Saccharomyces cerevisiae S288C: one gene and its partner. Changing the gene in region 1 together with any one later gene gives a genetic interaction. Each region holds a gene or a part of one and is shown on either strand. Other genes may lie near its edges.

Region 1 (4,557 bases):
TGAATCTTTATTGGCTGTTCCTTATTTTTAGAGTTCTTTACAGGATTCTATGGAGAGGTATTCTCAAGGATGACAGAAGTGATAGTGAATCAGACGAAGAAAGTGATGAAAGTTCCACTACTCCAACTGACAGTACTCCAACGAAAAAGGATATTTGAAGGAAAACGGTGTTTTTAAGTAGTATAACCATTACACATTAATTCTTTACACATTAATTCTTTTACGGTCCTGCTCTCACGTTCTTCCTTATTGGTTTATGTAAACAGGTATTTTTATAGTATTCTTTTCCAGACATACAGTGTTATCTTTTTTTCTTGCTTTCGTGCCGCTAAAGAGCTGTGAAGATCAAAAGTGATTTACGCTTAGTTAGCATGAATATAAATTCTCAGTTGAAAAGAAGCTATGTTACATTTATGAGCGTTGCTTTAGTATATCTATACAAAAAAAAGAAATTTTTATACAATGGTCTATTAAAAAAGGCTTCCAAATAATAGTTCAGCTTATTCCATGTTGATGTTAGTGCTTTCAACAGTGGAGCTATCGTTGTCATAGTAGGCCGACACCTTGACTTTGAATTCAGAAGCAGCGATACCGAATTGTTTCAGTATTAAAGCTTGACGAACATCTAATTTTTCTCCTTCAGTGCAAACTAAATATGGACTGTCAATGGTGATCTTACCAGCTTTGATTTTAGTTGGAATTTCAAATTTGTTTCTCATAGTTGGCTCTAAAGAATGAATCATTGGAACATCTTCCTCAGCTGGAATTTGACCACCACGTGAGTAGACAATGCCCTCAGGAATTGTAAATGTTAGTGGTGCTTTCGTGTTCGGTCTTGAATAGTCTGAACGAACGTATGACTTAAAGTATTCCTTGACAGTGTTGACATCCTCATCAGTGAACAATAAACCAGTGACACCGCTACAAAGCTTACTCAATTGATACAGATTTTCTTTGTATTCTTCTTCCCTCTTTTCTCCCAATGCTTTTTGTAAAACTTTCCTCTTACCCATAATTAACTTAGAGCCTGCCCAAGATGTTCTGATTTCTTGTAAAACTGGAGTTCTTACGTCGTCAAGATGTAGGACCCAGACGTATCTATAAGTATCTAAGGCTTCCCTCACTTCATCGAAAATTCTTTCTTTATTTTCTCTGCCCTTTTTATCGGTTTGTGCTAAAGTGACTAGCTTGGAACGTTTTGATCTTGGCATGATTCAACTATAATAAATCTTTTATGGACGATAGACAGTGATGTACGTATAGCAAAAGGAATCAGCTCTGCTTAGCCAAAGTACTACAAATATTTGCAACTTTTCAAAAGCTCATCGCATTTTTCTGGAAAAAAATTTTTTCTTTCACCTTCGCCGGGTAAAGTCCTAATGGTTGGGTTTTCTGAACTGAAATCAAATTGTGGGATCATAGCCAACAGTAGTTGGAAAGGGGAATAGCTTTGATCATACCCAGGGAAAGACCACTTTCTGGGATCGATACTTTCCTTTCTGTGTGCTTTATTAACAACAATATATCTCAGGTGTGAAAATTTTGGATAAACATTTAAAATAGAAGAGTAGCCAAGCATGTCTGAAAATAATTCGCACAACCTTGATGAACATGAGTCCCATAGCGAAAACAGTGATTATATGATGGATACGCAGGTAGAAGATGACTATGATGAGGATGGCCATGTACAGGGTGAGTACTCTTATTATCCTGATGAAGATGAAGATGAACATATGCTTTCTAGCGTCGGAAGTTTTGAGGCAGATGATGGTGAAGATGACGATAACGATTACCATCATGAAGATGATTCTGGACTTTTATATGGATATCATAGAACTCAGAATGGCAGTGACGAAGACAGAAATGAAGAAGAAGATGGACTTGAACGTTCTCACGATAATAATGAATTTGGCAGCAACCCCCTACATTTACCTGACATTTTGGAAACATTCGCACAAAGACTAGAACAAAGAAGACAAACAAGTGAAGGACTTGGGCAACACCCGGTTGGAAGAACACTACCCGAGATTTTATCGATGATTGGAGGAAGGATGGAGAGGAGCGCAGAGAGTTCGGCAAGGAATGAGCGGATTTCTAAATTGATAGAGAATACTGGGAATGCCTCCGAGGATCCTTATATTGCAATGGAGAGTTTAAAAGAACTTTCTGAAAACATATTAATGATGAATCAAATGGTTGTCGATAGAATTATACCGATGGAAACCTTAATAGGTAATATAGCTGCCATACTCTCTGATAAAATTTTACGGGAAGAATTAGAATTACAAATGCAAGCTTGTAGATGCATGTATAATCTTTTTGAGGTCTGCCCTGAATCTATTTCAATAGCTGTTGATGAACACGTTATACCAATTTTACAAGGAAAATTGGTAGAGATCAGTTACATTGACCTCGCAGAACAAGTTTTAGAAACGGTGGAATATATTTCTAGAGTACATGGGAGAGACATTTTAAAAACGGGCCAATTATCAATCTACGTCCAATTCTTCGATTTTTTAACTATACATGCGCAGAGGAAGGCTATCGCAATTGTTTCGAACGCCTGTAGCAGTATCCGAACGGATGACTTTAAGACCATTGTTGAAGTACTTCCAACGCTGAAGCCAATTTTCTCGAATGCGACAGACCAACCAATATTAACCAGGCTTGTAAATGCCATGTACGGTATTTGCGGGGCGTTGCATGGGGTTGACAAATTTGAGACTTTGTTTTCGTTGGATTTAATCGAAAGAATAGTTCAGCTAGTTTCTATTCAGGATACCCCCTTGGAGAATAAACTGAAATGTTTGGATATTTTAACCGTATTAGCGATGAGTAGTGATGTACTTTCAAGAGAACTGAGAGAGAAAACTGACATTGTCGACATGGCAACACGATCATTCCAGCATTATAGTAAAAGTCCTAACGCAGGGTTACATGAAACACTGATTTATGTCCCAAACAGTTTATTGATTAGCATTTCTAGATTTATAGTTGTATTGTTTCCTCCCGAGGATGAAAGAATACTGTCAGCGGATAAATATACCGGAAATAGCGACCGTGGCGTAATTTCTAACCAGGAAAAGTTTGATTCCCTAGTTCAATGTCTAATTCCAATTCTCGTTGAAATTTATACAAATGCTGCTGACTTTGACGTAAGAAGATACGTACTTATTGCTTTACTGAGGGTTGTATCATGCATAAATAATTCCACAGCAAAGGCAATCAATGATCAACTTATTAAGTTAATCGGATCTATCCTGGCCCAAAAAGAAACAGCGTCTAACGCTAATGGTACTTACTCATCAGAAGCTGGTACACTGTTGGTTGGTGGTCTCTCGTTGCTTGACTTAATTTGTAAAAAGTTTTCCGAACTGTTCTTTCCTTCCATCAAAAGAGAGGGCATTTTTGATTTGGTTAAGGATTTGTCTGTGGATTTCAATAACATTGATTTAAAGGAAGACGGGAATGAAAATATTTCACTTTCTGACGAAGAAGGGGATTTGCATAGCAGTATTGAGGAATGTGATGAGGGTGATGAAGAATATGATTACGAATTTACTGATATGGAAATTCCTGATTCAGTAAAACCAAAGAAAATTTCAATACACATTTTCAGAACTCTATCTCTAGCTTATATTAAAAACAAGGGTGTGAACCTAGTTAATAGAGTACTTTCTCAGATGAACGTTGAGCAAGAAGCAATAACAGAGGAGCTCCATCAAATCGAAGGCGTTGTTTCTATTTTAGAAAATCCTTCCACTCCGGACAAAACTGAAGAGGATTGGAAGGGAATTTGGTCTGTTTTAAAAAAATGTATTTTCCATGAAGATTTCGACGTGTCAGGTTTCGAATTTACTTCTACAGGGCTAGCTTCCTCCATAACTAAAAGAATTACATCCTCAACGGTATCCCATTTCATTCTTGCTAAATCATTTTTAGAGGTATTTGAGGATTGTATTGACAGATTTTTAGAAATCCTACAATCTGCTCTCACAAGGCTGGAGAATTTCTCTATAGTTGATTGCGGTTTACACGATGGTGGTGGTGTATCTTCACTGGCTAAAGAGATAAAAATTAAGTTGGTTTATGATGGCGATGCAAGCAAAGATAATATTGGTACTGATTTATCATCTACTATCGTTTCGGTCCATTGCATAGCTTCTTTTACCTCACTTAATGAGTTTTTGAGACACAGAATGGTAAGAATGCGTTTTTTGAATTCATTAATCCCAAACCTTACATCTTCCAGTACCGAAGCTGATAGGGAAGAAGAAGAAAATTGCTTGGATCATATGAGAAAAAAGAACTTTGACTTTTTTTATGATAATGAAAAAGTTGACATGGAGTCTACAGTATTTGGTGTGATATTTAATACATTCGTCAGGCGAAATCGTGACTTAAAAACTTTATGGGATGATACACATACAATCAAATTTTGCAAAAGTTTAGAAGGTAACAATAGAGAGAGTGAGGCAGCCGAGGAAGCTAATGAGGGGAAAAAGTTAAGAGATTTTTATAAAAAAAGAGAATTCGCACAGGTTGATACTGGATCTT
Region 2 (3,582 bases), on another chromosome or scaffold:
ATCATACGTCATATACCTGTCATTTAATAATTTGGTTACGTACTCTGAATCAGTTTTGATTTGATAATTTACTTTTTCCTTTTCATTAGTTAACTTTTCCCAGATTTTCTTCAAAGCTTCTGATACTGCTTCGATTTCAGCTCTATTATTAGTTTGAGCTCCCGATAATAAGGGTTCTGAAATATTTTCCTCTGGCGCTCCTTCAAAATATGCACCATAACCTGCCCTTGAAGATGACGTGCCGTTTCCAAAACTTGAACCATCACAGTAAACGTTCATAGACTTGTTGTACATGGTATTGCTAGAAAGCTTATACTTAGATTCAAAACTTTCTTTGGATATATTCATGAGCTTGTAATCATGCGCACTCATACCACTAATGAAGTTTTCCGCAGCTAATTGGTCTTCAAACTTCTTGAAGGTTATACCCCTTTTATGCTTGACATAGGCTTGACAGTCTTTCCAATTGTTAAAGATTTTACTCTCGATATTTGGAACATTACTCTTTACTGAATAAAAGGTATTTGTATTAGCAGAGCTTAAAGATGAACATGCTGATGACGATGTCAAGGAGGAATAATGAAGTGGCCGATTCCTTCGATGAACTCGCTTTTGAGTGGTATGAGGTTTACTAACTTGCCCTCCAGCATGCGTTGAACTTCCATAGTTTGATGTAGTATTTGGTTGACCTAGGAAAGATTTCGCTTGCTCGTAGCTGTTAAATTTTTTATAAATTGCACCACCATAACCATCAACTTGGTTTTTACATTCATTCCATGTATTATAGATCCCAGTTTCCCTGCCCTTTCTAACCGCGTAGAAGTTCCCTTGCCTTGCCATAATTAGGAATCGATAGTTCCTTCGATAAGCAAGGAGTGACACTTTAACTAATTTAAACAACGTGTATTATTGTGCTGCCATGAAATTAATATAGATCTTTACGACTATTGTACTTGCTTTTATTCATTGTTGATGCTGCTGTCATTTTTACATTTTTTTCTCCAGATAAAAAATAAAAAAAATATGCCATTAATTGATATCATCAGAATTTGACGAAATTCTCAAATCGAATTTGCCATAGTATTTCTTTAACGCCGTGAAGTGAAATTATTTATTACTAATGCTACATTAATTGTTAATTTACCTGTTTCAAGTACAATACAGTAGGTGCAGTGTGCTTTATACATGTCATCAAAGAGGAAAAAAAATCATTAAATTTGTATAAGTGCTACAGCCAAGATCAACCGCTTAAATTGGGAAGAGATTCGTTTTCCAATTTGATTTCTTTTTCGGGTGTTTGCTTTTGTTCCTCTTCATGTTTCACAATTTCATCGGGATTAAACAAGTGCTTAGTTAAGAGTTTATTCATTGAAAACATCGTCATTTTTTTGCCAAAAATTGGTTCCATCTTCTCATCGCATAGAATTTCTCTACGATCTTTTGGGTTTTGAAGATCATGCTCTTTGATATACTGCCATATCATCTTCACTACTTGCGTTCGTGGCAGTTCTTCAGATCCTAGAAACTTTTGTAAAGGAGCTGACAACAGAACTTTGCGGACGGAAATGCTGTTGGAATCAGGACTATCATTCTTTTTCTTCTTCCTTTTAGATTTACTTTCACTTTTACCTTTCCTTTTCCTCGTAGACCTCAAGGGTCTTTCTTCTTCCTTCTGTAACCTCAAAGATAGTTCTTGATCCCGACTAATGAGGTCGTTCTTCGGAATTAAGACTCTTGGGTTTTCTTGTATATCGCCGAACCTCTCAAGAATCAATTCATTAATTAACTTTCTTTGTGAATCCAAATTAACTGAATAGAGAATTTGCAGGGCTTTCCTCACCCTTTTTGGGCTTATTTCATCGGGGTTGGATACGCTCAAAATAGCGTCAACCATCGGAATATATTTATTGATGTCGGCCATAATGCTTTCACCCTCTATTTGCCTTCTATTTGCTCATTTCCTCTTAAACTTTTTCTTAAGGCTTTTCATGAATTAATTAAAATTTTCTTTCTCCTTCGCGCCAGCAAACAAATTATAGGTGACTGACTATAGTTCAACATATATACTGCTCCAGCGCAGTAGTACTACTTTAATAAAAAAGAAAACAAAACATTCTAAAAACTATAAGCTAAATATACTCTTTTGTTAAAGTTCGAAAAGTTTTCTGACAACACGGCTTCCACTAGGGTCTCCAGGGAAAGGCCAATCTTTTCTTACCATGCGTTTTGTCATATATCGTGATTTAGAATAACACTGCAAAATATCAAGATTTTTAATTTGGCCGGTAGCTATAGAGTCATTAAGAGACATATTTTCAAGATCTTTTTGCAGGTATTTTTTTCCACCAGCAATGATTTCCAAATATTTTAAGAAGACTTTGATATAGTTCAACAAGATACATTCGATAGTATCGTGGATCAAAGTAATAAAGACCGGTAATTCCCTTTTCATCTGGTTTTGCAGGTTTTGGAAATGCATTCCCAACAAGTCACGTTTAATATCTCGCACATTTGCTTTTTTTTCTTGTAAAAATAACATGTAATCTTTCTTCAAAGCTTGCAAATCTTTTAGTTTGCTTTTAACGGTAGTACAATGGGCTATGATTCTTTCAAGTGGGTTCATCACATCTGTTTCGAGCTCTGTGAGTTTCAAAATTGTTACTTGATTTTTTTGTTCATGCAGTTTATCTATGTACGAAGAACACATGGTCGATATTAAGTTATCGTGCGCAAAAAATGCACCAGAAGGGCGTTCGCACTCGATCACCTTTTTCCATGCATTTATTCTTCTTAAACTGATATCAATAATGCCTGACAGATCGTTTTTCAATAAATTCTTTTTTAATTCTAACAAACCTTTCATTACTTTCTTGAATTTACTGATGTGATCTGCCAATGTAAAAAATTCTGTTTCTTCATCCATTTTTAGATTTATCATCTCAGCTGAGGCAGTTGAAGTATTAGTGACAATTTCTAGCCCTGATACATCTGAGTAGTAACTCGATGATCCAGAAAGAAGAGAAGGAACTCTACTATTATCCAAATTACTCTCTTGTCGAGATGCATTACATATATTTTTATTTTGTTTGTCTGGGGGTTTTAAAAGGTGTGTAAACTGATCTTCATCATAACTTTGTATAATCTCTGATGGGGTTAAACTGAAATTATACATGGAATTACTCTTATACTCGGAGACCTCGGTTTCTAACTTATTGGAAAATAAAGAATATTTTCTTCTTGTCGGGCTTAGTTTCAAGCCCAATTCTGGCGAAAGAATATCTTCGTAACAGCTTTCCAAAGTTTCCAAAGTATCAATCCACTGAGTCAGTCTTTTCATCGGGCTTTTCAATATGTCCTCTAACTTTATACATCCACTCTCTTTTAAACAATATTCATACCACTTGTTAAAAAAATGATTCTTATTCATCCTTAATGTAGTAAATAGTTCCATTTGTTTTTGGTGGCTAACAAAATAGCTTGTGTAGGTGGATTTGATTCTTAACAAATGTTGCTCGAACGCCTCTGAAATATCAAAAGTTGAATATAGCTGCTGTTGTACCTCATTTTTGGTGAATATCTTTT

Evidence for each region. A genetic interaction does not mean that the proteins touch.
Region 2: mutations in MRT4 (region 1) and TRI1 together harm fitness more than expected from each alone (negative genetic interaction), as found in Saccharomyces cerevisiae (2 studies listed by BioGRID).

Annotation. Positions count from the first base shown.
Region 1 is NC_001143.9:422,896-427,452, reverse strand, and holds MRT4 (ribosome assembly factor MRT4), read right to left. Parts: upstream 1,212-4,557; coding exon 501-1,211; downstream 1-500. Other genes in the region: sphingosine N-acyltransferase LAC1, read left to right, coding at 1-158; putative ubiquitin-protein ligase UFD4, read left to right, coding at 1,578-4,557. UniProt on the Saccharomyces cerevisiae protein: Component of the ribosome assembly machinery. Nuclear paralog of the ribosomal protein P0, it binds pre-60S subunits at an early stage of assembly in the nucleolus, and is replaced by P0 in cytoplasmic pre-60S subunits and mature 80S ribosomes.
Region 2 is NC_001145.3:737,524-741,105, reverse strand, and holds TRI1 (Tri1p), read right to left. Parts: upstream 1,922-3,582; coding exon 1,241-1,921; downstream 1-1,240. Other genes in the region: RNH1 (RNA-DNA hybrid ribonuclease), read right to left, coding at 1-840; FUS2 (Fus2p), read right to left, coding at 2,147-3,582. UniProt on the Saccharomyces cerevisiae protein: May be involved in transcription regulation.